Linked DNA regions of Arabidopsis thaliana. The protein of the gene in region 1 interacts with the protein of each later gene in a pairwise test. Each region holds a gene or a part of one and is shown on either strand. Other genes may lie near its edges.

Region 1 (9,078 bases):
GGATCGTAACCCAGTTTTACCTTTGTAACAGCCTGGCATTTAGTTAAGAGGCAAGCACCACTCAGAATCATAATATGAATTCCTCCACAAAAGAAAAATAATGGCGAAAAGAAAGAAACAGAATGAACCTTCAGACCCTGGCTTCCCTGAGGAAGATAGCTATCACGTTTCACCCAAGAAAAACAATCCAAATGGCACACAAACTTAGCTCGACATTCACCTTGATTTTGATCACAACGGAATCCCAACTCCTGCAACCACGATGGAAGGAAAAAAAAAAACATTATGCCCTGGGGATGGGAAATAGAACCGAGGTCTGGTAGATGAGTGCCACCTTGCCAATTCTAAGAAAACTTCAGAATTCAAACGCAAAACACATTACTAATCTAGTTTTAAGCAGAGGCACATTCACAAGGTGACAACAAAATATCAGTGAATAATGTCACAAAGAATTTCTCAAGTAGATCATATATTTGATGCAGACAGAATATTTTGTTAGCAATACCACAGTGAAGGAAACGTGATACCTCGTTCATTTTGATCCCATGATGAGATGCTCTCCGTTCTATAAATGGCCAGTCAAAAAAGTCACCGTTGTATGTAACATAAATACCAGGTTTCAACTCTTGCATATGAGAAAACCATTTTCGGAGGAGTTCAACCTATACAAATCAAAACCAAGAAAGTAACTTAATTCTAAGCACCTCAATCTTTCTGATACAAATATTCAAATCAAGAGCTAATTTACTTTACCTCGTTGGTAACATTCGTGACTTTGAAATACCCTTCAAACTCTGGTTTGGGTGTATATTCCAGATCTTCTATGTCTTTGCCAACACACTGAATTAAGAAGTGCAAAGTTAATACTACAAATTTTATCAAACAAGATTGAAGTGGCCCAAATATTTAAAAGAAATAATAGAGCTGAGATATCAACCAGAGATGATATATCCAATGGAAAATTGTTAAGAAAAAAAATTCATGTTTTAAATTACATAGCAAAACGTTATGTTAGTCCACAACAATAAGTCTTACAGTCACACATCAATCAATCAAACAAGCGGGATAATTTCGTATGGATCATATCTGATTTATCTTGGATTAAGAATGCAATCAAAATAATCCAAATTCACATAAGGGCTATATAGCAGCTTATCTACGTTTATGATTTGGAAACGGTCATCATCCATCATGTAATATATCATCATTGATTAGATCAAATCCAATGCAATACAAATGTATGCAGCAGTTACCTCTCTGTTAGTAATTAGAAAACCTTGCCCATCAACCATGTAGGATATCATCATAATTTGATCATATTCAGCATCCGGGAACTTCAATGGAAGCTTTACTGTCTCTATATCGAATGCACAAACGCGAACTTCTGCGCGTTGGAGAAGATCCGTCCTCTTCTCTAGTATGACATCAGTGCTGGAAATACTGACATTGTACCATTGCCCACTACGCACATCTGGACAGCGAGAACACATCATGATTTTGACAACCTTGAGGGCTAAACTAGGATTAAAAGTTTGACTAAATAGGTTACCATTATCAATTGCAAATCGGACATGATAAGGAACATCGTACTCGCGGAGGTCCACCACAGAGTCTAAGCAGTCTTGAGGACGTTGTTCTCTACATTCCAAGACTTGGAAATTATAACTAAGGAACAACATAGTTTTAAGGGATAAATTTGTAAGAACTCTGGAAATTTATAAGAACAAAAATACATTGCCTTACCGTTTTCCAGACAAGATGGATTCGTAAGCTTCAAGTGCATTAAATTTTGCGAGGTTTCGTTCGACAATATGCAACAGATCCCTCTTTACTTCCACCAATTGTTGCACAGTGTCAAATGATACTTTGAGATATTTTTTTTGCAGGCCAGATAGATGATTTTTCTGCTCATGAACATAAGAAATCAAGAAACTCAAATTGGTATGGTAGGTCAAAGAAAAGGTCAGCAAAAGTGACAACCAAACAAGAGGTACTGAAAACGTTCATATCTTGCATAATGTTGCCACTAAAGAAGAAGCATTAAACACTTAAACATTTACTAGCAAACGTTTTTTGAGTTACAAGAACGTTTTTGGCAGGCTAGATAGATGATTTGAGCACATGGAAGCAAGATCAGTTTTGGACTTATTACTAGAGCTGCTCAATTTGAAGTTGCAAGAAGAGGAAAATAACTAAAAGTTGTAGCAAATGTAATTGACATGAGTCCTCTATATAGAGAGAAAGAAACGAGTAATCAACAGGTAGTTGCAAACTGCGTAAAAGGAGTTATGCTTTAGTGACTTACAAGATAAAGATCTTCTTTGTGAACAATCTGAATATCAGCAACTTGTCTTTCATATCGGCGTCTCAAGTAGGCTTCAACTTCCAGTTCCATATTGTCCTGTAAAAAGGGCATTGCAGTTTAGTTGACATATAGGAAGAAAACACTCGAGTACAGAGAGAACATATATACTTTGGTGGCGGCATACAAGTAAGGGCGGAACTTGTACTTAGTCTTAAAAGAAGAGCCGTCCTGAAAGAAACAAAAAGGGTTGAGCAACTGATACGAAGAAAGAAGCTAATATAGTAGCAATGACCACAGCTGACCTGAGTGACAAAGAAAAGGTCCACACAACTAAAGGTTTTCCCAGTATCGGCATCTTCCCAAGATGACTGCCAACAACGTAGTATAATAACCAATCAGTGAGTGTACTTAGAAGTTTTCAGTATTCAGAGAACTAACTACTAGGGAAGTCACAAAACGTGACTTACTGATGCAAACGTGAGTAGCCACCCGAGCCGCGTTTCCCCTTGGGAGAAAAGCCCAAATCCAAGTTTAGTTTCGAGTTCATCTGCCGCTGAAACTTTCTGCACATTCAACCTCCGATCACATCTCCTTCCGCTCATATTTGGCCCACGCCGATGATGCTAAGAGACTCTTGTATTGATTGCTTGTGTTGCGTATTAAATAAATTAGGGTTCAAAACAAAGGGATTCGTGATTGACACTGGTACGGTGAAGAGATGGAACCAGATCAAATAAGAGAAGAGAGAATCATCTAGAACCTGAGATTCTTATGACGACAATACAAGGAAATGAAGTTGTCATCCGAAAATGAATTAGGGCTCAACTAAAAAAGACAGATGAAGAAGATGAAATGCTTTCGCGCGCGTTGTCTCTTGTATCAAGGGCTTTCCTGGTTGTTGGGTTCGGTTCAAATGAGGCCTCACTTTTTATGAGGGCTTTCTGTTGTTGGGTTTAGATTAAAACGAGGTCTCGCTATTTAAATTGAAAAAAAAAAACCAACAAAAGCACGAAACGACGTCGGTTTCGTGCTTGAATCTCTTCTTCCTCGCGAACGACTGAGAAGAAGCAGGAGTTTAATTTCCTCCGGTCGAATCTGAAAACGAAATAGCTGCCATAGCTTCTTCTCAATTTTCCCCAATTGTTGTTGCCCTTCTCCCTAATTTCACGACTTTCGATTCTTCTGAGTTCTGAGTTCTTCGCATCACTGACTGACGTAAGCTCCTCTTTCTCTCTTTTGCTTTCTCCTCTTTCTGGGTTTCTCTCTCTCTCAACAAACAATCGGAGAGTGAGAGATGCAAAAAGTCCTCATATTTATATGTTCGGAAGAAGATCTCCAAACACTAATAGTACTTTTTTGTAGACTATGAAGATGAGAAACATTTGTGTGAAATTAGAACTTCTCTACTAAGTGAAGGTTATGGATGTTCATTTGGTGGAAGAGAATGTGTCAATGGGGAATCATGAGATAGGAGATGAAGGAGATGTTGAACCTAGTGATTGCAGTGGACAGAACAACATGGATAACTCGTTAGGGGTGCAAGATGAGATTGGAATTGCAGAGCCATGTGTTGGTATGGAGTTTAATTCAGAAAAAGAAGCTAAATCTTTCTATGATGAGTACTCGAGGCAGCTTGGTTTTACTTCTAAGCTTCTTCCTAGAACTGATGGGTCTGTTAGTGTTCGAGAATTTGTGTGTAGTAGTAGTAGTAAAAGGTCAAAGAGAAGGCTTTCTGAGAGTTGTGATGCAATGGTTAGGATAGAGTTGCAAGGTCATGAGAAATGGGTTGTTACAAAGTTTGTTAAAGAGCATACTCATGGATTAGCAAGTTCTAATATGCTTCATTGTCTTCGTCCTCGTAGGCATTTTGCTAACTCGGAGAAATCTAGTTATCAAGAAGGGGTTAATGTGCCTAGTGGTATGATGTATGTTTCTATGGATGCTAATAGCAGAGGAGCTAGAAATGCGTCTATGGCTACAAACACGAAGAGAACGATTGGACGGGATGCACATAATCTGTTGGAGTATTTTAAGAGGATGCAGGCAGAGAATCCTGGCTTTTTCTATGCGGTTCAGCTTGATGAAGATAATCAGATGTCAAATGTGTTTTGGGCTGATTCGAGATCTAGGGTTGCTTATACTCATTTTGGTGACACGGTTACCTTAGATACGAGGTACAGGTGCAATCAGTTTCGTGTTCCTTTTGCGCCATTTACTGGTGTGAATCATCATGGTCAGGCTATCTTATTTGGCTGTGCACTTATTTTGGACGAGTCAGACACTTCATTTATCTGGCTGTTCAAGACTTTTCTAACAGCAATGAGAGATCAACCGCCGGTTTCTTTGGTGACTGATCAAGATAGAGCCATACAGATTGCTGCTGGTCAGGTATTTCCAGGTGCTCGTCACTGTATTAATAAGTGGGATGTGCTAAGAGAAGGTCAGGAAAAGCTGGCTCATGTGTGTCTTGCGTATCCTAGTTTTCAGGTGGAGCTATATAATTGTATCAACTTTACTGAAACGATTGAGGAGTTTGAATCGTCCTGGAGTTCTGTCATTGACAAATATGACTTAGGAAGACATGAATGGCTTAATTCTTTATATAATGCTCGAGCTCAGTGGGTACCTGTTTATTTCCGGGATTCGTTTTTTGCTGCAGTGTTTCCTAGCCAAGGTTATTCGGGTTCCTTTTTCGATGGATATGTGAATCAGCAGACAACCCTTCCGATGTTCTTTAGGCTGTACGAAAGGGCTATGGAGAGCTGGTTCGAGATGGAGATTGAAGCAGATCTTGACACTGTCAACACACCTCCAGTCTTGAAGACGCCATCACCCATGGAGAATCAGGCTGCAAATCTCTTTACAAGGAAAATATTTGGAAAGTTCCAGGAAGAGTTGGTAGAGACATTCGCTCACACGGCAAACAGAATTGAAGATGATGGTACTACCAGCACATTTAGGGTTGCAAATTTTGAAAATGACAACAAAGCTTATATAGTAACGTTTTGCTACCCTGAAATGAGAGCAAACTGCAGCTGTCAAATGTTTGAGCACTCCGGCATACTCTGCCGACATGTTTTGACGGTGTTTACTGTCACTAATATACTCACTTTGCCACCACATTATATTTTGAGACGGTGGACAAGAAATGCCAAGAGCATGGTAGAGTTAGATGAGCATGTCAGTGAAAATGGGCATGATAGCTCGATACACCGCTATAATCATTTATGTCGCGAAGCCATCAAGTATGCTGAGGAAGGGGCAATTACAGCTGAAGCTTATAATATTGCTTTAGGGCAACTCAGAGAAGGTGGAAAGAAGGTTTCAGTTGTCAGGAAAAGGATAGGTAGAGCTGCGCCTCCTAGCTCACATGGTGGTGGAATTGGTAGTGGTGACAAGACCTCTCTATCAGCTGCTGACACAACCCCTTTGCTGTGGCCGCGCCAGGATGAAATGATACGCAGATTTAACCTTAACGATGGTGGGGCCAGAGCTCAATCTGTTTCTGATCTGAATCTGCCGCGTATGGCACCAGTGTCACTTCACCGAGATGATACTGCTCCTGAGAATATGGTACCCAGAGGAAACCTTTCACAGACTTATTTCTTTGATTCTATTGGTGTTGGTCAGTAACTTGATTTACTTTGTCTTACAGGTGGCTCTTCCTTGTCTTAAGTCATTGACTTGGGGGATGGAGAGTAAAAATACAATGCCGGGTGGTAGAGTTGCAGTTATCAATTTAAAGGTGTGCATTATATGAACCAGTAAATCTTTTCTGTAGGGTTTTGCAGTAACTTTTACTGAAAGTTGGTCTGATGGGATGCTTTATCTAAAAGAGATTAGATTTGTAAGAATAATGATCTTGAAGATTTGAACAATTGACATTCGCCTTTTCGGAAAAGTTACTGGCTATAGTGTAGGAAAATCAAAGTTGTTGCCATTAATAGTCTTGCTCGTTCCTGCAAAATAGTAGTTGACCGCTTTACTGAGGATTATTTTTCATGATGTTTTCAGTTGCACGATTACAGAAAGTTTCCCTCAGCAGACATGGATGTCAAATTTCAGCTGTCTAGCGTCACACTTGAACCCATGTTAAGGTCCATGGCTTACATTAGCGAGCAACTTTCATCTCCAGCCAATAGAGTAGCTGTCATCAATTTGAAGGTATGTCTTTTAGACTCTAGGCTCGTAGCTTCTCATGTAGTCTTCTTGACTTGACTAAACTCCTTTTAATTTATTGATTGTCTTTGGTTTGTTCTAACATAGATTCCATCTACCGTTAGTGTGTGAAACTTCTGTGTTGTTTGACTTGTTTAAGCTGATTCTCTCATTCATGTTAACTTGCCATACGTTTTGCAGTTATTTATACTAGCGTCACTACTTGAATATGAAATTTCATGTTTGATTACCAAAATCAATGTTTTACTCCATATTAGGGACTCTTAATTGAACTAGAAGGTTTCAACAGTGTGAAAAAATCTTCTTTTGTTTTCCTTACTCCAGCTTCAAGATACCGAGACAACAACAGGAGAATCAGAGGTCAAGTTTCAGGTGTCCCGAGATACACTAGGTGCCATGTTGAGATCAATGGCCTATATCCGTGAGCAGCTCTCAATCGTTGTAGGCACACTCCCTTTTTCTTTTTCTTTTTCCAAGTAGTAGTTATTAAATAATTACAAGGCCAATGATAGTTGAATTAGTAATAGTAACAGCAATCAATTAGGTTCATATCGACCTATAATTGTTCCTGAACTATTACTTGGTCTATGTATTGTCTTATAGAGTATCTAAACGGTATCTTGCATTTGCAGGGAGAGCTACAAACAGAATCTCAAGCAAAGAAGCAACGCAAATGATGTTGAGAGAGAGAAACAACCTCTGGAAAAGAAAACTTTGGAAAATGGTTGTTAACCTCATTAGAGCTCGTCTGTGATTAGTGTTGTTAGATTTACGATACAATGCCTTATGTGTAATTGTAACATGTGTAAGTGTCACGTCATCTACGCAAGTGTGTAGAATCTGGTAGGCATTGAGCCAGGCTTTGAAGTGTATATATCCTTCTTATTTACATTGAACCCTAAAAACCTGGATTCTTGTGGATAGTCATTCGTTTGACTGCAGATTATATTTAATGGCCATGGAGATTTAAGACTGCCATGGAGACTTAAGTATTGATAACAAACAATGTGGATAAAACGCATTATTCAATACAAGAAATTCTCATGCTATTTATGTAATCATCGTCGAACAGAATTAGTAAGAAAGCACATGAAAAATTTTGAAAAACAATAAGGAAATGTATGGAGTGCGTATTTTACGCTTTAGTGAGTGAAAATTGGGAGGAACAAGACATAATACATCAAAAGGGTAAGAAAATGCCACAATCTGCTAGCTTTGCCTTCTAATACTGATGCCCTTTAACCCAACCCGAACCAGTAAACTCGGGATCTCTCTAGCCCTGTCTTGTCTACAAGCTCCTGTAATCAATAACGGTCACTTCTTCCTCTGGAGCATCTAGGTCTTGGTAGCTGCACCAAATTTCTCATACATTAGTACCTTAGAGACACTGCACTCTTGATCATAGGGTAATGGACTCATAGCACAGAGTGAACTACGTTACCTGCGCAGCCGTCTAGGATCTTGTCTAAAGGCCGGAGACAACAGAAAAGGGGCAGGTCCACCTCTCCCGCTACCTTCAAAAGGAGGGTTGGGTCCACTTGGGTCCCTGAACATCTGCATAGCAACTTCAGGTGGTGCTGGTACAAATGGTCCCAGTGGCCTGACCACATCATCATTCAGACACATTAAGATCATTGATTCAACACAGTAACTAATTTATTCTGAAAACAAGATCATGAAGGGAGTGAGTAATCTTTATTAAACCTACCCAGCACCAGGAACAGGCATCAGCATTGGTGGTGGGTTTATATCCGATAAGAAGGGAGGAACATGAACACCACCTTGTCCACCAAATGCATCATACCCAACTTCCCCAGGATTTCCACCATCATTATCCCCTCTCTGTTGATCTTCTGACCGATCATTTCTGTCATTTCCATTAGCACGTCCATCACGCTCTCTGCGTCCACCTCTATCATCCCTCAGTCTGTTCTCCATGCTGGGTTTACGTCTTATAGGTCTATCTCTCTGTTGAAAGTATAATTAACCCACGTAAATAAAACTCAAACCAAGCTAAACAAGTGATAACCCAAAAGTACAGACTAGTCAACACTCCATTAAATCTCAAAAGAAGATCATGTACCGGGCCAGATTGCTGCGTGGCTGGTTGTCCTCCTGGAGCATTAGGATCACTGCAAATAGCACAAAAAAATTTCATTACGAACCTGTCAGAAACGACAGTAGAGGAATCCAAGAGAAAAAGCCTACATACTTCATATAGTTCTGAAAATACAGTTCTTCCCGAACTTTGGTAGTCAGCTCTGTGACAAGCTCAGTGTGTTTCAGCTTGAGATGCTTGTACACAAATTCAGCAGCATGAAACAGCTTCGTGCAGCCCTTGGCTCCACAACCATATTTCCAACCATACTTCTCATCTCTAATCTTTCGGACATGTGGATCTAAAGCTTCAGTAGCGGCAGCATCTATCTTCTCTTTGGCAGCCATCACTTCCAAGGGATCTTGACCTTTCAACCTCTCTTGCCAATGAGAGTCGAATTTACTTTCATTCTCATCTCCTTTTGCATCAGAAACTTTTCCTTCAGCTCTCACATGCCGCAAACCCTTAGCTTCATTTGTTTCAACCTTTCCGTAAT
Region 2 (6,431 bases), 7.2 Mb from region 1:
AACAGTAAATCGTTGTCCACCCCTTCATTGACATCTTGGTCGACATACCAATAGAATAAAGCAGATGTCGAAATCGTTGACTTGAAACGTGTGTCAAAAGATAATACGCCAAGTCTTTTGCGTTATTTCATTGTAAATAGGATACAATTATCGGCAAGTAAAAAAAGGAGAAGAATTATATATATTTAGTAGAATTTTATTAGTGACATAATAGATAACGATTTGGTTTCTTGAGCCTTTAACAACTTACTTTGAAATCATTGACAAATATTACTTCACATAACTTGAAAAAAGAACGAACAAGAAAGAAAAGAATAAGTACATAAGAACCCAAGAACATAAGAGAGGATTTCGACAAGGACGAAGCAAAATTCTAAATGATAAAAACAATTGAATACAAACAATTAAATTAAGGCTAAGAAACAAAAACAAAAACGGTGTTCTTCTGCAACATGAATCGTAGCAATTGTTATGTAAGCAATTTTGTGTTGTTCGCAAAATAATGGGCCTTAGTCCTAAATGTTATGTAAGCCCATACAACTTTTTCCCTTTTTTGGGCTTAATCAAGAAATTAAAAAAGCATTGGGCTGGTTTCCCGCTGTTTGATTTAAAACCTTTTTGTTTTTTAAGAAAAATAAAGGAACATTTATAAATTTATAGGCCAACTATATATAAAAATTAATGAGGTCCACTGAAATAAAAGAAGAGAACGACAAGTCATTTCTCTAAGTCCACGAGGAATCCTATAGCCAACACTTCTGGACCTTTTTTCCCCATCCACGGCCACCAAGTTGGTTTAGGCCTCCAATAATACATTTTACCTTGTGTTTAACCTTTTAAAGTTTTACTTCCTACATATCTTAAAAAAATATATAATCAACGGTGTGAAACGGAGAACCATGGTTTAACTTTAACCAACCACACTTGAATTATAAATCAAACATAAACAAAGTTATCTTATAGTAAATCCTGTCTGGCGTTGAGACCGTAGACAAGAAGAAAATATCTACTACTACTAGTACTAATTAAACAACGAACGAAATAGAATCAACGGTTAGGACAAGACGATGGAATTGAACGGTAAAGATTAGATAGACACAAGTATGACCCACGCCAGGCTGTTCCTTTATTTCCTTAGCGTTAAACTGGTGGTGCTGACCCAACTAGGCGTCCCTTGAGTGGGAAGCTTTCAGGCCCCACGAAACAACGCCGTATTAGTGGTACAATCAAGCTTACTAGGCCCCGCCAATAACACGGACGAGACTTTTTTCGCAAAAAGCTTTTGTAACACTTGTAAGAAAATGGAATCATTTGAAAAGTAATGCTACAACAATTTTAGGAAAACAACATTAGTATTTTCATTTTAGATAGAAATATTTATTTTGTTACAGATTTTAATAAAATCAAAACATCAATATCACAATTGTTGTTGAGTGGACCATGACTTAGAGAGGGCTTCAATAAATCTTATTTTGTAAAATTACAAAGACCAAAAAAGTCAAGACAAAGTGGTGAGCCCCCACCAAAAAAACGAAACGTTTCGAATTATGCTTAAGCTTAAGCTGGTCCTACTCATACGGACCACGTAGCTCTAACCATTTGGGGACCACACCCAACCTGGCTGCCTCGGAAGCTATGCGTAAGGTGGGAGCCGTGTGGCCCCTCTCCTCCTCCCTCCACTCTCTTTTTGGTGCGTGTTGACCCACTTCTGCCTAAAATCGAGGCCCACTTCTTAACACGTGCACTTCTTCATGTGCACACGTGCTTTTTTTCCGATCACTAATACGCCGCCGTTTCCTTTCTTTTCTTCAGTGGTTCGATGACCGTGCTGTTGTGGTGCTCATGAACTGGTGAAGCTCTTGTTTCTCGTATATCTCTAGGGAGAAGTCTCTCAGCGTGTGCGTCGTTGTTGTTGCAATTGACGATGAACTACCGGTTGTTACGCCTGAGCTTGAGCTCGGAGCCATAACCGACGTCGCTCTTGATAAATTCGAACCGCTAACGTCTGAAACGGATACAAAGCCGCTGCTTGGAACAACTTGTAAAGGAGGTGGTCTAGCCATCGTGGAAGCCTGTTGAACAGCGGCGACGTAAGACGACGGCGAAGCAGCGGCGGCGGGAAAAGCTAATAACTGAGGCTGATTCGACGGACCAGCGATTTGTGGAATCAAGAAGAAAGCTCCGACCGTCGGAATCATTGCGTTTGATGGAATAGCCCACATCGGATACATTCCTTGCGGCAGAAGTTGCTGAGCCACAGTGGATGATGCCAGAGCTTGCGGAGGTTGGATCGTTGTCGTCGTGGCAATTGGAGCTAAACCGGAGGAAGCTGAAACGGCGTCGCTTATGTCTATATACTCACTGTTAGAAGGTCGTTTACGTTTCTTCTTCATCAGATTTTCACCCATATCAGAATCAGCGTTCGTCGTCGTCGGGATTTTTAAGGTTCCGTTAACCGACATGGCGATGGCGGGAACCGTTCCCGTACCCGTGGCGGCTATAATCGCCGGCTCAGCGTTCTCCAACAACCACCGAATCGTTTCGCCGTCGGATTTGTGACCTAACTCTCGAGTTAATTGAAAAATCCTAGCCGCACACGTGGCAGGCATCCGTATCCTTCTCCCTCTTCCTTCAACCTTCGTGTGACGGTCTTTAGTCGAAGCTCTCTTCAATGGTGGTCCTGTCGAAGACGGTGGAGCTAAAGACATTGAAAACGACGGCATCACCGGCTCCGCCTTGGGCTCGAGACTCACTGTGGGATTTACTTGGAAAGGTCTTGAAGTTTCGACGTTTCTGACGCCGTTGATGATGGTTAGATCAACGGCTCTTAGAGTTTGATCTTTGCCTGCAACTTCTTCAAGCTTCTGAATTGTCGCCATTAAAATATAGCTGAGAGAAAACGGACGGTGGAGATGACGACGAGAGTTGTTAAAAGCGGATACAATGGGAAAGAATCGTTTTAACGGCGTTACACGTCCAAGGAGATTACTAAATGTGACTCGTCAGGATATATATATAGGAGCAGGAAAACAAGTGAGAATAGTATTCAACGCTTTTTGATGCGGGAAAAATCAACGGTCCTGATGTGTTCGATGAGCTTTAAAGAACCATTCCGATTGTACCACGTGAACAAATCACTTTCCATTGCTCTATCTTCTATCAGTATTATTATGGGACCATCTGTACAATGGGGTCCAGTAAACTTTATTTCTCTTTTCACAAAATGTTTTTCTTTTATTGTTTAGTAATATACTTGTTTTTTAACCTAAGAAAAGCTTCAAAATCCAAAATCAGAAACTCATTCTGGTTAGTACTTACTAGTTACTAGTACACTCCCAAATGAAATACCTAGCTTTGTACAAAAATTTCCATCGCTGATCAAATTTAACTTTTCTATGGTTGGAAAGATTTTCAATAATTTTTATTGGTTAGGCAAAAAAAGATTTACTTTAATTTTATGGAAAAAGCTGTAAGCCCATACTTGGGGTTGGACCCCATTAATGTAGGTCACAAGGCTGCGCCACCAAAAAGCTAATTAGTGTCTATGGAATAATCCTCTTTCCAGGATTCCAAAATCCTCCTATCGTCCGTCCTTTGATTAAACCGGTCACATACATATACGCATACTTATGTACTTGTGTACTTGTACAATCCGGATATTAAACATACAAACCGAACTAGAAATCAGATCAAAGTAATCGAAATGATTGTAAGTTCGACGGTAACTAGATGTAACCGATTCAAACTTATTTTGATTCGTTGGTACTTGTTTCGGGTTTGAACCACTAGCTATGCTACTTGTACATACGACCGACCAGAAAGAGGGACCGTAAGCACCAGAAAAGAAAGGCTACAAAACGAAAATGTGAATGTGGGCCTGAGCTGGACCCTACTCTCTTCAGTTCCACACATTGTTGAGGGCTAGGCCCAACTATTCGACCCCACCATTCCCTACCCACTCAAAAATCAAAATATTGGCGATAACGTGGCCTTGAGATTAACAAACAAACGGATCCGGGATTAGAATTAAACACCAAATTATAAACCGGTCAAACCGGTAGTAACCTTTTAGGCTTAAAAGTTAAACCAAGTGGGTTCCACCTTTTCCGATTACAGATTCGGGTCCACCACAGAGGGATAATGTTGTAATTTTCGCAGCCACCAACTTTTGCCTACCATCAGCATACCATTCATTACGCCAGCATCAATAATTTGGGCTGATTGGTAAATTTGAGGTTTTGGATTCCGATGTTTTTACTTTTCACTAACCACACAATTTCACATAAATAAGTGTAGTATTTCTTACAAACCATTTAATCTTTAATGATGCTTGTTTTATTCGTATCGGTCCATTTCTTTAGACATAGAGAAGCTTATCTCTTCAGATACATCTGTCTATGGTTATGTTCTCTACCTGTTGCAATAAACACAATTTCTAACAAAAGCCTGAAACCATTCCCTAAGAAATCTGTAGGAGCCTTTGATGATCTGAAAAAGCATTCCAACAATGGCAATATTCTTCCGTTGCATATAAACCATAAGTAAAACGCTTAACCTCACGATCCCGATATGTAAGTGTACCGTGACTGAGCTCCCTCCAAAAGCTCCACAATTTTCTCTGCAATTTCCATGAGAGAACCAAAATAAGGTCAGTAGATGGCAAGTAGACAAGACAATCAGTGATCTCGTGAATGAAATGAAAGCTTTAAAAAGTAAACCTGTGAGGAATCCGATCAATGGAATTAGTTCCAGCTTCTTTTGAGAGCTTTCCAGCTTCTGCCTGCAATTGCAAGACAAGCATATTTGATTTATTAGTAACCCGCGATAGCTTAAGCTTTAAGCCTAAAACCCAGGGATACCAAATCTAATATTAACATAAGAGCCAAGAGGAAATGAACCACTTCGGTTTCAATTTTTCCCATTTCAGAAAATGCCATAATTGAAACCATAAGAACACTCACCTTGTGTACTTGGTGAAGAATGGATCTCTCATGAGGTACAATGCCCATATCAGTTTTCGTCTCCTCAGCTGAAGAAGTAACAAGAATATGAGTTAAATCGGTTCAACATTACTGTTGTATTGAGGTCCAAGAGATTTCTAACCTCATCCTTTTCAGGTCCTGAGAAATGGACTTGCTTGCTCTTCTCTCCCCACCACTTCGAATTTGCAAGAAGACCCATCCCCAGTGTGTCCACAGAAAGCGATATAGCCCAAGGAATCCAAGATCGGACTCCATATTTTCTGATGAAAAGAACGTAAATGAGCGGTCTCGTTATGTAAAGAACCTCACCAATCGCAAACAACGCTCCATTAACACCCTTCTCAGTAAGTAGCTCGGACATCGTTCTTCGCCTCTCCTTGATCATTGGAGGCTCTATAACTGCTTGCTGATGTTGAATTCTTCGAGACCAACCGGGGGTAGAAGATGTTGTTGTTCTTGCATTCTGACCAAATGAACTTAAAGCAGACATCGCCCGTCCTTCCAAGTTCCATGGATTATGATGATTTTGGTTTCCAAGACCATGAGGCCCGAGATTTCTACCCGAATTACCAGCTCTATTTTGCGACTCGGATTGGTTAGAATCTTTCTCCTCATTAGGTGTTTCCCCTCCTTGAAGAAGCATCTTATACCCACTATTCCGGAACAAGGCTAACCTAATGACAGCCCTGAAAATTCAAAGTTTTCAAGATATCAAAATGCCAACTAAGTAGGTTGTGTAGATCCAAGTGATCAGAAGAAAGCAAGCTTACTTCATAGCTTCAGTGAGAATAATGTAGTTCCATTTTTTGTCTCCATAGAAGTGTTCAGCTGCCACTTCCACAACAGTTTCCAAATCCTTGAGGATGGCGATGAGTAGTGGATAAGAAAGGGATGGATCATTCCCGGAAGATCCAACATGGCCACGAGGTGTTGGAGCATTTTCAATTATGTGTTCATTTATCGTTGAGAATATGCCCAAAAAAGCCGTTACTACAAAGAAGATTACCAAAAAACTTCAATCACACTTCCATGAACACAAAACTGACAAAAGAAGAAAGAAAGAAACATTCTTTGGAACTTGAAGGTTCTAATGTTAAAGACTTAGGACACGAAACATGTGAGGAGGTACAAGTGAAGTATGTAATTTGAGAAGAACCGATAAAACTGAGTATAGGACAGTGTTCATTATTCAGACAAGAGACTTTAGGAGCTAACAGGGATAAAGGAAACAGTTATTCTAAGATTGAAAGCAGTAAAATGTTACCAAAGTATCACAAAACCTGCTTCTGGTCCAATCTCTGAAGCAGAAAACTTCTCAGGAAGCAGCCATGTCAATCCCTGCAACAAAACAAACATATTTGACGAACTATCAGCTGATGAATTCCACAACTACGAATTAAAAGATCGAACTGATTCAACTCTTAAATTTTTTCAAAGGGTTTTCATTCT
Region 3 (7,462 bases), on another chromosome or scaffold:
TTAACATTTTGACTGTCGTCTAATCATCACTTATGATATTTCTTAACGTTTTAGTTTTGATACTAATCTTTTTATTTATTTATAAATTATAATGTAGTTTAGTTAATCTTTGTGTAATTTTGGGATTTAGAAGTTTTCAAATTTTGCATATATAGTTATGAATCATGATATTTCATATGTAATGCTGTTTTATCTTATAAATATCAAATTGTTTATACTTCAAATAAGCGCTTTTAAGCACCAAACGTTTGATTGCTGCTACCCATTTAACGCTTCTCATGTTTATAAATTAAAAATAGTTAGGAAATTCAGCATCATTTATATGTCTCCTGGATACAGACGCACGAAAAGAAGAAGATAACACAGTTACTGGCATATCTACTGATTTTGTGGAAACGGAACGTGACAAGAAACAAGTGCATACATATCTTCTCTCCCTTTTCTCGCATCGCATATAGGGGAGTGCTTTTAAATTTTCCTTCATTTTATACAAAGTTCACATCACTTTTAACATAAAGAAAAATTCAATGTTGGAAAATAAAAGTTTCAATTATTTCCCAACACGACAAATGTTTTAACATAAAACCACGAGAAATGGATATTTGTTCAGATGTTTTCTGGTTGCAAATAATCTTTTTTTCTACGTTTTCATTAAAGATTATATACAGGGATGATATCACAAGAGTGTTTAACTGTTTTGAGACTTTTAACTTTAGGTTTGGTGAAGCCTTCAGATTTAACTCGTGACTCATAAACTAATTTCAATATATCGGAAAACATTATATAATCATTAATCTATTTGTTTAATAGTACATAATAAGATGATATGGTACATGCATGGACCTCTTTATAGTACAGAAACAGACCACCCATTAATTTATTCGTCTCAGATACTTTTCATTTGTTTGAACAACTATAATCTATAATAAAGAAAGAAAGAGCAACGAGTCGTCACGAGGATCGGGTCACTTAAAGCGACTCCTTCTCGAATAATCTCATCATAAATTCCTTCATAAACAAACACTATTGACATCAGAAAAAAAAACATTATCTTAGTTGATTACCATCAAACTGGTTCGACGGTTCTCTTTTCTTCGATACATTTTTGTGTGATTTATATAATGTATTCTATTTGTTATGTACACAATAATGTGATTTGTAGATAATCTAATCTATTTAGTGGTCCTGAGCCCGATTTAGTAATCCACATGGTTTTGGTATATGATGCGTATGCATACATCCTCTAATAAACTAATCTTGTAAACTAGGATTGAGATCTAAGATGCATTGTCCCATTCCAATGAAACTTTTAAAATCTTTTCGGATATTTTGATACGTAGTGTTGTTAGTTGGTCAATACAACCAAAAAGAAGAAGAAATCACCTTTCAAGTTTTGAGTAGATTAGTATTTGATTTATGTATGAGACATTGATAAGTCTTTTTAATCTGATCATATCTTTTGAGGATGTAACGTAATAAGTAAACTTTTTTCCCCTCAGAATCGACTTTAACGTTTTTAACCACACCATGTCAATGGGTATGGTTGCAAGCATAGTAACAAACTCTGAAACCAAAGACATCTGATATGGTATTTGATTTGAGGTTCGGTTACGGTTTCTATAATACATGTGATGGTGAAAAGATAAATTCATAGAGAAGACCATCTGATTCTACAAAGATTTCTATCTTCTGATTCTTATCACAGTATTTAGTGATCACCTAACAGATTAGAATTATCCCCATTGGCAAGAGAAACCATGGAAGTGTGTTCTTCAACACTTGCAGCTTCAGTGTTTAAGTTGTTAGCAGCATCAGCAACACTCCCACCATCATCCTACAAATAAGCGATGATGATTCAAGCTCCGCCTTATGTGGATAAACCAACCAGAAACACAGGGTGATATTTATAAGAGCTTACCGGTTTCATTAAAGCCAACTGATTCTCTTCTGTTTTCTTTGAGAGATCCCTCAATGTACCCTACAAGAATTGAACAATTCTAAATGTCAAACTTCTTGGCTATATCAGTATCTTATGAACTGAACATAGTGAACATATTATATATGTCTTTATCATCACTTTGTCTTTCATACGTACCCTGTTAGCCCAAAAAAGTCCACAGGCATTGCAGAGAGTCCTGGGGCCGGAAGGGCCACGTCGCATCATTGGTGTACATTTGGAACTAATGCCGCAATGAGTACACCTACATAAGACACACTCACGTTTAAAATAAGTGCAAACAAAATGTCCCACATTAGTGGAAAACAAAAATTGCAGGAACAGTTAATTGGCAGAGAAGAGAAAGAACTCACGATATTTCTGGATGGGCATCATCTTGGGCAGAATCTTGATCTGTGCCAGAGTTATAAGCCCCATCTGTCATCTTTGAAGAGGTGAATTGACCTTTATTACGTGCCATTCTGATAAACACTAACAAAGGTCAGAGAGGCAGAGAAGGTGACAAATCCTATCCCTTATTATTGAAATAGACATGTCGATTATTTCCAGTAAAAGCTACTTATCACACTAACAAAGACTCAGATGTCTATCCTGCTCAACTACAACCATATTGTCAAATACTACAGCAAGCCATGGACAATGAAGCCTACTACTCTACATAAACACCTACATGGTCACCAAACTTCTTGAAACAAATAAAAGAAAACTAGCTAGATAGTAAACTAGTTGAATATGAACAGATTTCCTTTCAATCCATAGCACACGAAAGTGAGGAAGTAGTTAAGCAACCAGAGCATAGCCAGAAGAGTAGAAAATTTTTAGTTTAGCTATACAAGAATACTAAATTTTTATCCCAGAAAAGGTGAAAGAATTTTGTTCAGAGTAACAGCTTTTGGCATAAATTGGTAAAACTCAAGACTGACACACTGACCTTAAGGCAACTTCTTGGCGAACACCGTATCTTACTTTCTTCTCGAAACATCTAGCATTCCTCTTCTTCCGAAACCTATCCAAGGATTGTGCCCGTTGCGGAAGGCTACAGCGGCTCTGATATTCTACAACAGGCTAAAAATAACACCAAACTGAAAAAGGTGGAATCGAGATGAAGTGACAATTTAAGCAGAATTTGAACACAAATAACAAAGTTACCATATGATTCTGCTGTTGAGCTAGTTCCATCACCTGCGGACCAGGAGCAAGCTCAGTAGAACCACCCAACAGCGACAACACAGCATCCACCTACGAAATCAATTTCCAAAGTTTGGTTAAGACTAGCAAAAGCACAAAGGTGCAAAAGAGGCAATCGTTACGTGCCCTAAGCCATCAGATGTTATGTTTCAGATGCATCCATCGAGACTTCACACAAATAACAAAAGAGGGACAGAGTAGAATTACCTTGTCAGCACCAACGGCATCAAAAACGTAAACTTGTCCACGGAACGAGATCGTAAGCTGATTCGCCCCTTCCGGTGGCCGAGAAACAAGTAATTCAGAGCCATCGGATCGGTGAGCAACCAATTGAGAGCCATCGGGAATCAAATCGGAGGCAGCACCATAGATAGAGTCAGGATGAGGGATTTCTTCCATATCGTCGTAAGGAATGTGACCAGACGTAGCGGAGGCAGAGACATGGTCTTCACCAGCGGAAGCAGAGGCGGTACCAATCTGGTTATTTGGGATAATCGAATGGCGACCAAACATCGGAAACTGCCAAAAGGGAGAGCTTTTTTTTCACATTGATTGAAGGATATAGAGAAAGAACAAAATAAACCCTAACCCTAAGAGCAAAGGAAGAAGGAAATAGTTGACATCGAGAAGAGCGATTACAGAGAGAGATGGTGATCGGCGCGTGTGGAGGAGGCGAGATTAGGACCGTCGTCGAATTCACCCGACGGTAAAAAAAAAAGGTGACTTTAGGTAAAATCGCAGCACTGCTTCCGAGACGACCCGACGACTCTACTTTACTGGATTTTTAACCAATCACAAATTTCTCTTCTTGTTATTCTTTTTTTTTTTTTTTTTTCTTTAAGCTAGTTTTTCACGTAAAAAAAATATCTGAGAATATTCTATGTATCTTTGATGGTCAAAGGAAAAAAAATTGGGAAATTACACGAATTTGGTTTATCAACAAAAAAAAAAGTAATGCACAAAAAGGATGAATGGTGAGTGAGTGTGTTAGGAGGTCTTGGTGTGTTGTTTAGTTGGAGTAGTGGGAATGTTGTAGAGAAGAAGACCTAGGACAAGAACTATACACCCCATCGTAAAATTTGAGCTCAAGCTTGATCCTCCCGGTAGATACGGCAATGGTTTTGACATTATGTACACCGCTAATGGCACTACAACAACACCAAAAGTATTATCTCATATGGGTTTGAGTATTTGGTGACACTTAAGAGGCGTTGCATGGAAGGATAGAAATATGGACCTGAGAGCATCATGGTAAGAGAGGAAACGATTGCTGAAGATATTTTCACCAGATGGAGCAATGAGATGTTGAAAGCGAGATTGGTGGATATATAGAGCAGTGGGAGTATAGGGGCACCATCACAGCCTGAAATTCTCAAATGGATAATCACAAAGTTTTAGCAGTGAATAAAATTCAATGAAGGAAAAAAAAACAAGTGTCGAATGGTCTCTAACCAGAAATCTTAGCTCCAGTGTTGAAGAAGCATCCGGCACCATCTTTTAGATATGAAGGAAGGCTGGCGAATGGAATGCCTTTCAAGTTTGAGAGAAAAGGCAACAACAGGAACACAAAAAGAGCCTGCACAAGCACAGCTTCAGTGATCCGTAACACTAAACCAAAAAACAAAAACTCTTCTCAAGTAGGAGAGAGATAATAAGTGAATAACAGAGGAAAGCAGCTTTCAAATGTTTTCTTCACGTACTCTTGATGTAATGGAGAAGCATGTCTAATTGTTTTGGCTGTAACAAATACATTTACAACATGATATTGTAGTAGTAGATACCTGAAATCCAGATCCAAATGAATTTACCACAAATATATCCAGTGACTTTCCCTGCATCCACCAGTTAATCTTAGAGTTAATTCAGCAAAGTTTCGAAAGAAAAGCATTCCTGTTTGATGCAGGGGATAAGGGAGATACCTCAAGACGCTTTGCAGCATCATTGAAAACAAATTCCTGTTAACAGACAAAACACTTAACAACTTGGGTCTTGGCAAAAGAAAATAAAATAGAAATGTTCACAACTCATAAGAGAGAGCGACCTTCACCTTTATGATAGATGCACCAGCTTGAAAAGCAGCGGATGCTACCAATACAGCAGGCCATAAGAAACCGATTCCAGATAGCGTAGTATCTGCACCAGATCCACTGCAGATGAGTTACAGTCAGCATTCACAAAAATGAAAGTATCACTATCACACAAGCTTCTCTAGAATCAGGGCCTTCTATTTGCTATGTGGATGATAAATACTAAAGTAGAGCCGTCTCCATTCATTTAGCATGGTGAATTTGATAGGTGTGACTCTGGTCCATGAAAACTAGTTTTCTAGATTGTAAGAGCTGAAAGCACTCTCTTGATATAATCTGTAAATGACCACGGATACACAAACATTTCTCTACCCCAAGATCAAGCATCCAGATCCAAGAAGATAAAAGTAACTTTAGAAGAAGAGAAGAGGGAGGAAGGAATACCTTGAAACAGCCACCACAACCCCCACAGCCACAAGGAGACAACCAGCAATTTGGTTAAGCAAAAACCTCCTGCCTAAAATAAGAAGAGCAAAAAGCAGCTGCCACACCAAATATGTCTGCCAAACATTGGGAGGCATGAGTTCAACACCCCCATGAGAACAAATGAGCAAGAAGATAATCATAAAACCAAAAGACCTGATTCAAAATGGGTATAACTGGTCCAGGAAGCATTGCTGCAACAGAGAGTGGAATCACTCCATATGTAACCTTATAAATATGTAAAGTTTCAATCATGCTATAAATGGGATACCTGCTGCAGCCATGCCAGTGGCAACACCAAGAGCTTCGAGAAAACCAATGATTGCGAATCTCCATTTGGGTACATCCATCATTTCATTCGTCACAATGCCTAGACGGCGCCTCGTATACAGAATGGTGAAATAAATCAAGACGTAGCTGCCAAAAACCATTCATTTATCATAATCTAAGCTAGGCTCCTTCACTGCCCAATTTCTTTCATAGCCACTCTTGTTTAAGTTACCCGAAAGTGGTGAGCTGAGCCATGAAAAAAGGGTACTGTTTCATGGGAACCAAAGCGAGTTTGTAGAGCACGCGATTAGCTACAGCTAAAGCTACGATTACGACGGAGTTAGCCACGATAAGGTTCCGATTAGAAGGAATTGAAGACTCCTCCGTAGAAGCACCGACGGAAAAGCGAGGTCGTCTCATCGGAGAAGTGGTTTTCGGAGTACTAAGAAAGCGAGATCTCAAATCGGACCGTCTGAGAAAACACATGCTCATCATAGTCGTCGAACGGTAGGAAAACAGTTGGGAGCTCCGGCAGCTGACCTGATAAATCGCCGGCGAACGGAACACCGTAGGAATTGAAGCATGAAGACATCTGATTGGTGGTGTTGTAGCCATGAGAACGGTATCCATAGCGGGAGACTTTCTCGGCGACTGTTTTTATATCCTTCTTCGCTTATGCGACCCTTCATACGATGTCGTTTAAACGAGTTTTGGATTTTTATCACACAATCATTTATTATGAAACTTTGAATCATGTTTGTTTGTATCAGGAGTGTGCCATGATGTAGAAATATTACATGTGTAATAGCAAACATATAAAAGATTAGCTTGTAATTATAAGATTTGATTGAAAACTTAGGGAATGGTACAAGTAGAAAAAGAGAGCTTAAACTTGGGGTCTAGCTTGGACGATGTAGATATGTCCACCTTTGACAACACCTTCAATGTCTTGAGGACAACCATAGATTGACTCTATCACATTTCCAGCTTCTGCAATCGCTGAGAATAGACGCACTCGAAAGGATTTGTCCATTATTAGTGGCTCCCTTGAGTAATCCACCACTACTTCCTCTGCTTCATCCATTATCACACTGCAGCACTTAACCCTTTCAGCTTCTGAGTTCCGAAATAAAAGACGGAAACAGAGAGAAACACACAAAACAAACCTGTCGTAAAGTCCAGCGCCTGCGTTGCCTTCGAGATCCTCGTTGTTTGAATCTGATCTGAATATGATTGAGGGTTTAGAATACAGACCTATCCTCTTACTTGGGTAACTGATCACCTGTACAACCCAAATTCCCCACTCACTCGGTTAATATATAACTCAACTTAAGAGCCAACTAGGATCTGTTTGTTTCTTACGGTTGGAGACTTGAGGTTTGTTTTCTTGGTGATGAAGCTCATTGCTCGTCCTGGATATGCTCCAACCAAGGTCTCTCCCAAACCCTTCACAATCTGAGAACGCCAGTTTCTTGATAACTGAGTTATTGATATTATTTACTCAAAAGTGTGGAAACTGGAGATAGTTCTTTAACCT
Region 4 (6,750 bases), on another chromosome or scaffold:
AGCCAATTATATATTATTCTCAAATATTCTTTATATAACATATTACGAAAATGAAATAATTGTTACTCTATCTATGTAAATATATTTTCTTCCATTGCTTCATTTTCAAAGAAAACCCTAATGGTTCCAACCAAAAAAAAGAAAACCCTAATGGTGTCGAAAAAGCTTCCATTAGATCTGGAAGAAGAGATACTCTTTCGAGTTCCACCTCGATCTCTCGTTCGCTTCAGATCCGTTTGCAGAGAATGGAACACTCTTTTCAAGAATAAGAGATTCATCAACAAAAACTTTGCTTGCGGTCGGCCAGAAATCATGTTAAATACACATTCACATATTTATTCGATAAGCGTCGATCTCAAAGACGAAAATCCAACTATAAAGGTGCGTGATTTACGCTTTGATCATTTAAGTTGCCGCGGTTATCATCTGTATGGGATCTGCGATGGTAACTTCTTCATGTATAGCTTTCTTAATGGAGGCGGAGGCGTTGTTTGGAACCCGTTGTTTTGGAGACAGACTAAATGGATTGCCAAGGCTGAGAATACATGTGGCAAGGCCATTGGTTACGATGGTAGTAGACCCGAAAAGAGTTACAAGATTATCGGAAGGAGTAGTTGTTCTTGGCAGGGTAAAGTTACTGATACATATTCAGTCTTCGAATTTGCAACCAATGCGTGGAAGGTTACTGATCATACCCGTTTTCACGAAAAGCCAGAATTAATGGACGACTCCGGTAGGGTCTCCCTGAATGGAAATTTGTACTGGACAGCTTATAATTCTCCCCACACTGGTCAGTATTTCATCGCAATGCTCGATTTTTCGAAAGAGATAGAAAAGAGTCGAAAGACCTTTTGTGTTTTACCGTGTAAGGGGGAAAAAAGTACTACACATACTCGTATCCTCTCGATTTACAAGGGAGATCGGTTTTCAGTGTTAGAACAATCCAAAAAAACAAGGGAGATTGAGATTTGGGTGACAAAGGATCAAATTGGTAACGGGGATGATGGAGACGATGTGGTGTGGATTAAGTTCATGACAGTCTCAAGACCTGACTTCCCCATATTACTTAGTTACATCTCTACAAGTTACTTTGTCGATAATGATATCCATGGGAAGAGCTTTGTTCTGTGTTGTCCTAGCAAGAGACCTAAAGCAGCTTGGGTGTATATTGTGAGGGGAGATTTGTGCAAAAAGATTAAGATAGATCAAGTGCTATGTGAGTTTCAATCCTCTGTCTATGTTCCCAGTTTGATCACCATTCCTTGAGAGTTGAGAGACTTTCGCTGAAGCTAGTACTGAACAAGAAGAACTTTTACAAGTTTTAAATTCATTGTTGCTTTCGTATTATTTAGATATTATTTAATAAAGCTTTTACAGGATTGATTTCCACAATTTGTTCGGCCTAATTCGGTTAATTGATAATCTAATTTGTGAGCATGGGAAGATATACGACGTCCTTTCTCTATCAGTGATTCCTGTTTATATACACTATAACCTATCGCTCAAATTAGGAGAATACTGTAACCAAGGAAGTTATAACATAAGCCAAAATGTTAGCGCGGACTAGGACAAAAACAGAAAACTAACTTAGTGCGTGTATGTTGTCTTAGAATAATATCATGTGTACAAAATATTTGAACCAAACAACTATCTATTTCCCCAAAGTTAGTTTTAGCACTCCATTGAAATTAATAAGAGAACGGAAGCCCAGTGACACTGAGTATTGAAAATAAACATTAATGAGTAGATGTATACAACCTAGCTTGCTTAAACCATCTAGGCATGTTATTAGAATATCTATCATGTAAGTATCCAAACTCAATTTTTTCCAAGTAAAGAACAGTGTGTCTTATATTATATACATACTAGTGCCTTGAAAATCCTTGTGCCAGAAAAAAGAACAGTTGCAGAAGACCTTGCTCGATCGAAAAAGAAATCAAACAAAAGTAGCATACAGAAAAGAAGTGAGATCTGTCACCAACTCTTTCACTGGAACTTATTAATTGCGATTAATTATGCAATTTTTATTCTTTTGGTTTGAATGCAATTTTATCCTACAAAAATATAAGAAACTCAACAATGAAAACTGAAAAATCGAAAAGACTATCATTCCTTCTATACATTGAAAACATTCTCTACCCATGAGAGTCCATTTGGACCCAAACCTAACAATTCCTTCACACATAAATTGTTCTTGTCTAAACACTACTAAACAACAACACACAAAATCTCACAATAAAACAATCAACCAAACCGCTACAAACGCTTTAAATCAATTTCTTACCACATTCAATGATTTCACAAGATTAGTTTACATCACTCACTCAGAGCTATTTGAGTTCTCCTCTCTACTATCATCATCATGATCACTCTGTTGCTGCTTCTCTTGATGCTCCACCGCATTGTTCGCTTGTTCCGCATTCGCGTTTGCGTTTCCGCCTCTTGAATAAGCCGAGTTCAAAGCGGCTAACATCCCGAGATTCGAGTCCGGCATACTTAGTCCTAAGTTCTGAGTCGGCTGCGGCTGAGCTAAAAAAGAACCTAACTGAAGTGGACTTCCTCTGTACTGATCCATCGGAAAACTAAACCCCGTTCCCGCCATAAAGTGAGTCGCTGCTCCGCCTCCACCTCCCGCTCCTCCTCCAGCAGAGTTCACAAATGGCCACATAGGAGGAGCACGGTGGCCTGCGGCGGTGTTATTGTTGCTACTACTCTCCATTTGATTACCGGCCGTTGTCGGTACCGGAAGCATCCAAAAAGTGTTCCCAGCACCAGACCTACTCGGCGGCGCAACCGCCCACATCGGCGCCGCCGTAGGACCCGACGTTTCACTTTCTTTCAAAGATTTATTCTCGTTCTGTTTCCGATCATCGTTTTCTTTAGACAAATCAACCGATCTATACCGTTTCCTAGAGAAATTCTCACCTTCAGGAATAGTTTCCACCGGATCTTGATTCTGATTCTGGTTCTGGTGGTGTTGAAGCTGATGATGAAACCCTAAAAGCGGCGACGTATGAGCAGCAAACACACCGCCGCCTCCTTGTTCATCATACTGATGATGAGTCAATCCAAGAGCACCGTAAAGCGGCACCGATTTCGACGGCGGAGCAGAGAGAGTCGATCCACTACTTCGTAACGAAACACTTAAAGTAGAGAAGTTCGCCGGAATAGTTCCTGTACCTGTAGCAGCAACAATAGCTGGCTCAGCTTGTTGAAGAAGCCATTCAATAGTTTCACCATCGGATTTATGACCTAACTCTCTCGTTAACTGAAAAACTCTAGCTGCACATAGCGCCGGCATACGAATCCGACGTCCTCTTCCGTCGACTTTCGTGTGACGGTCTTTAGTCGACCGCTTCGTTGTAGTCGCCGTTGCCGTAGATGAGGTTGTTGCGAGTGTTGAGTCTTCGGGAGGTGTAGATCTGGGAACGATTGAGAGAGATGCGTCAACTAGCTGTCTTGCTCCTCCTCCGGTGGCGACGGCGGCGGTGTCGTTGTTGTTGTTTCGGATGTCGGAGAGATCCATTTTCCGGTGAGAAAGAAGGGAAAAGAAGATGAAATTGAAATTAGGGTTTGGTGAAAGAGGAAGAAACGGCCATGGAAGCTCCGATTGTCGCCTTCAAGTTTGACTCTTGTCTTCTTCTTTGTCTCGAGAAGAGAGAGAGAGAGATGAGAGAAAAAAAGGTTTGATGATGTAAAAGCAGGTGGATGACTTTTCCAGCAAGAGGATATTATTATTAAAATAAATAATATATATGCCGTCATTAACATTAAATAAAACGTTTATTGATTTTTGATTAGTTATTATATAAATCAAAAAGTAATTAGGGGAGAAAAATAACTTTTCACAATTATTTTAAGTCTTTTTTATCAAAATTCTACCCAAATATGAGTTATGTTATTTTTCAATTACATTATTTTCATCACAACATTATTGTTTACCAATTTTAGAGCACCAATAAAAAAAGGTTTAAAAAAGATTTGTGGATTAAGAAAGTTAGAAAGAGAGAGATAAGCATCTTTCAGACAGTGAAGCGTGCGTATTTTTGCAGGTGGGGACAGCTCATTACAATCCACCTCCGTATCTCCATTTCACTTTTGTCTTAAATATTTTTAGTTTTATAAGATTTTGTTAAAAGTATATCCATTAGATAAATGACACTAAATTCTTTAATTAGTTATATAGTTTTGGGAAAAAATGCACTTTCAAATCGTTACAGCTTTTTGTTTTAGACGTTATTTTGGTTATAGATTCATTAACATATCAGTTTGTAAGAATTTGGATCACAAATTTGATCATTCAACCAAATTAAGAAAGACATCAAACGTTACTCGTCAAGAATCCCAAAGAAAGGATGGACAAAAACTTATCTAATTTGGAATTTTCTAGTATTTAGAATTTATGAACCGGTTGAAATGGGCCGGTCTGTTGTGGCCCAAACCCGAAAAATTATTTATGAACGGGTTTCCTCCTAATTTAATATGGTAAGGCGTTGGGGTATTTGGGTCTTTTTGGGTTTACGGTTCAGTTATTTTAAGATTTCAGATTCAGATCGGGTTTTTTTGGTTTGGATTCGAGTTCATCCGGAATATCCAAAACTCAAAATTTTGTATCAAAATATATTTAAATTACTTGAAAATACACAAAAAAAATTCCAAAAAACTTGAGTATTTTCTATCCGAATCTATCGAAAAGTAGGTAAAATATCCAAAATATATACAAAATCTAATATTTTATGCACTTAATAGTTGTTGTAAATATGATTATTACTAATAAATTATTTTTATGTATATATATTTCAGATATGTTCAGAAACTTGATCGGATTCGGGTTTTGTAGTTTAGGATCTGATTAGGTATTTTAAAATTTTGGGTTTGAATTCAGATCGGGTTTTTAGGGTCAGGTTCGGTTCGGTTCTTCGGGTTCGGGTATTTTGCCCACGCCTACCAAAAACATTTCTAATGTAGCCGTTTCAGTTTCCTCTAAAACCAAACGACAACAATGCTAACCAGTTTACTTTCTGATAACAATTGAGTTGATATAGGCCCTTCAAGAGGCTTGACAAAGAGCAATGAAATAGCTGTAAATGTGCATATAAATTAAGTGCAGATCTGAGGCAATCAAATATTTTGACGCTTGGGGATAGTACTACAGAAAATGGCAACAACTTTACATGAAGCATTCACTCGAAGGGAATGCACCATTTTACAAGTAACATAAAATACAACAGTGGGTATCATAGTACAACTCCAGAGATGAGTCCGGGTTCGAATATATTCGTCCCATATATTACACAAGTCGCTACAACAATCACCAGATAAATGAAGTCCAGGTGTCTGATCTTCGAACTAAACCACCTCAGGCAAGCCATCTCCTGGAAGTAATATAGGATTTCCAGGTGCACTGGTGAGTTAACTTGTCAACCATAAGAAAAGAAAAAAAAAGAAACGACGGGGGAGTTAAAAACGTCTGTGGTGAGGCGGTAGATAAGGGTCTGATCTTGTTGAGTCGCCAGGCCCTTAAGATCTCTAATGAACCAGTGGGTAGAGAGACATTTACTAAAAGTGGAATTGACCCATCACAGATACAGAGTCACGCCTACAGTTGGAATCTTTGGTGTTCAGTGAAAGACTGGAGAACTGAGAGTCGAGATCTTTGCTAGTAGCACGTCCGCGACTGGCTGATGGTTTTTGAGTTTGTTGTTGTTGCTGATACAACGCTCGTAGTCTCCCAATCTCCTTTTCCAACACTTCTTGTTCCACTGGATAATAGACAGAACTCATGAGGTATACAATCTTAAGAACTGTTGAATCTTGATAACTAGCTAATACTTACAAACTCATACTCTAGACTATAGTTTGAACCTTAAGAACCTAAAAGAAACTGCGAGAAACTTACATTGTTTGATAAGCTTCTCCTGAGCTATACTTTCGAGACGCTTCTTGAGAGCTTTATTTTCCATACTCAGAATAAGATTCCTCTGGTTGAGAAAATCAAGTTCAGCTGAAACTTTGGAGCCTTCTGCCTATAGTCACAAAATAAAATCCATACTTCAGTGCTGCACAAATTGTAATCTACTACATCTTTCACTTACTCTCTCTTTGAATGCAAGTTTTTTTGAGCCTTACCTGCAATGTCTGTACATTTCTTTCTAGCTCAGATATGTACTGGAGCTTACGGACCCGTGATCTTTGTGCAAATTGCCTGCAGGGAGCAGCAAACTAAATGAGTACTGATCATTCTATATTGCTTTGAATAGGTACATCAATCAAGAACGAGTAAAGAGATCACAAACTGTTTGGCTCGTTTTGTGTTGTCAGCTTCATAAGTCACAGGCGAAGGATTGGAGTTGTTTTCCTCAGAAGATAACATCTTTGGGTCATGAGAAAAAGGTTCAGCATAGTTCTTTCTTTCTGACGATATTACTGTTGCATCTTGAGACATATATAAAGCTCCCAAGTTTTTTCCGCCACCGTTCTCACGAGCGAAAGGTAACCAAGAAGGACAAGCCCCAGTTGCCACCAAAGAATCCCGCTGACGACTCTTCTGTTTCAGAAAACTAGCACCAGAGTAGAAGGCAGCATCCTGAGCATTTTTATTCCGGTCAAGCTCTTGGACTCCTCTTTGAGTGGATAAAACAGTATTCCTATAACTGAAATCATTTTGGAGAGTCAAACTTATGTTTGTAGCATTAGCCACATCTAGATAAGCGTAAGAGTCACTTGATGAACGCCGATGACCACATTTTC

What was found.
Region 2: the proteins of FRS3 (region 1) and TCP9 interact in binary tests that used the Arabidopsis thaliana proteins (3 or more experiments, as listed by UniProt).
Region 3: the proteins of FRS3 (region 1) and ZIM interact in binary tests that used the Arabidopsis thaliana proteins (3 or more experiments, as listed by UniProt).
Region 4: the proteins of FRS3 (region 1) and TCP8 interact in binary tests that used the Arabidopsis thaliana proteins (3 or more experiments, as listed by UniProt).

Annotation. Positions count from the first base shown.
Region 1 is NC_003071.7:11,575,052-11,584,129, reverse strand, and holds FRS3 (FAR1-related sequence 3), read left to right. Parts: upstream 1-3,312; 5' UTR 3,313-3,724; coding exon 3,725-5,878; intron 5,879-5,960; coding exon 5,961-6,050; intron 6,051-6,319; coding exon 6,320-6,469; intron 6,470-6,808; coding exon 6,809-6,925; intron 6,926-7,116; coding exon 7,117-7,161; 3' UTR 7,162-7,462; downstream 7,463-9,078. Other genes in the region: TIL2 (DNA polymerase epsilon catalytic subunit), read right to left, coding at 1-32, 129-251, 528-662, 754-840, 1,254-1,471, 1,550-1,638, 1,744-1,904, 2,306-2,401 and 3 more; SE (C2H2 zinc-finger protein SERRATE (SE)), read right to left, coding at 7,773-7,833, 7,926-8,084, 8,193-8,452, 8,568-8,616, 8,697-9,078.
Region 2 is NC_003071.7:18,818,909-18,825,339, forward strand, and holds TCP9 (TCP family transcription factor), read right to left. Parts: upstream 2,982-6,431; 5' UTR 2,880-2,981; coding exon 1,809-2,879; 3' UTR 1,334-1,808; downstream 1-1,333. Other genes in the region: SSE1 (shrunken seed protein (SSE1)), read right to left, coding at 4,557-4,618, 4,719-4,780, 4,962-5,029, 5,104-5,668, 5,753-5,972, 6,263-6,320.
Region 3 is NC_003075.7:12,641,981-12,649,442, reverse strand, and holds ZIM (GATA-type zinc finger protein with TIFY domain-containing protein), read right to left. Parts: upstream 3,880-7,462; 5' UTR 3,659-3,879; coding exon 3,353-3,658; intron 3,197-3,352; coding exon 3,107-3,196; intron 3,023-3,106; coding exon 2,889-3,022; intron 2,419-2,888; coding exon 2,311-2,418; intron 2,202-2,310; coding exon 2,096-2,201; intron 1,979-2,095; coding exon 1,895-1,978; intron 1,835-1,894; coding exon 1,709-1,834; 3' UTR 1,579-1,708; downstream 1-1,578. Other genes in the region: CLT2 (CRT (chloroquine-resistance transporter)-like transporter 2), read right to left, coding at 4,133-4,293, 4,383-4,508, 4,598-4,721, 4,927-4,977, 5,065-5,100, 5,193-5,292, 5,617-5,732, 5,812-5,849 and 2 more; PWD (phosphoglucan, water dikinase), read right to left, coding at 6,812-7,016, 7,092-7,207, 7,288-7,380, 7,461-7,462. UniProt on the Arabidopsis thaliana protein: Transcriptional activator that specifically binds 5'-GATA-3' or 5'-GAT-3' motifs within gene promoters.
Region 4 is NC_003070.9:21,510,360-21,517,109, forward strand, and holds TCP8 (TCP family transcription factor), read right to left. Parts: upstream 3,831-6,750; 5' UTR 3,527-3,830; coding exon 2,321-3,526; 3' UTR 1,973-2,320; downstream 1-1,972. Other genes in the region: AT1G58090 (F-box and associated interaction domains-containing protein), read left to right, coding at 151-1,266; AT1G58110 (Basic-leucine zipper (bZIP) transcription factor family protein), read right to left, coding at 5,560-5,762, 5,900-6,026, 6,130-6,205, 6,297-6,750. UniProt on the Arabidopsis thaliana protein: Can specifically bind site II elements in the promoter region of PP438/PNM1.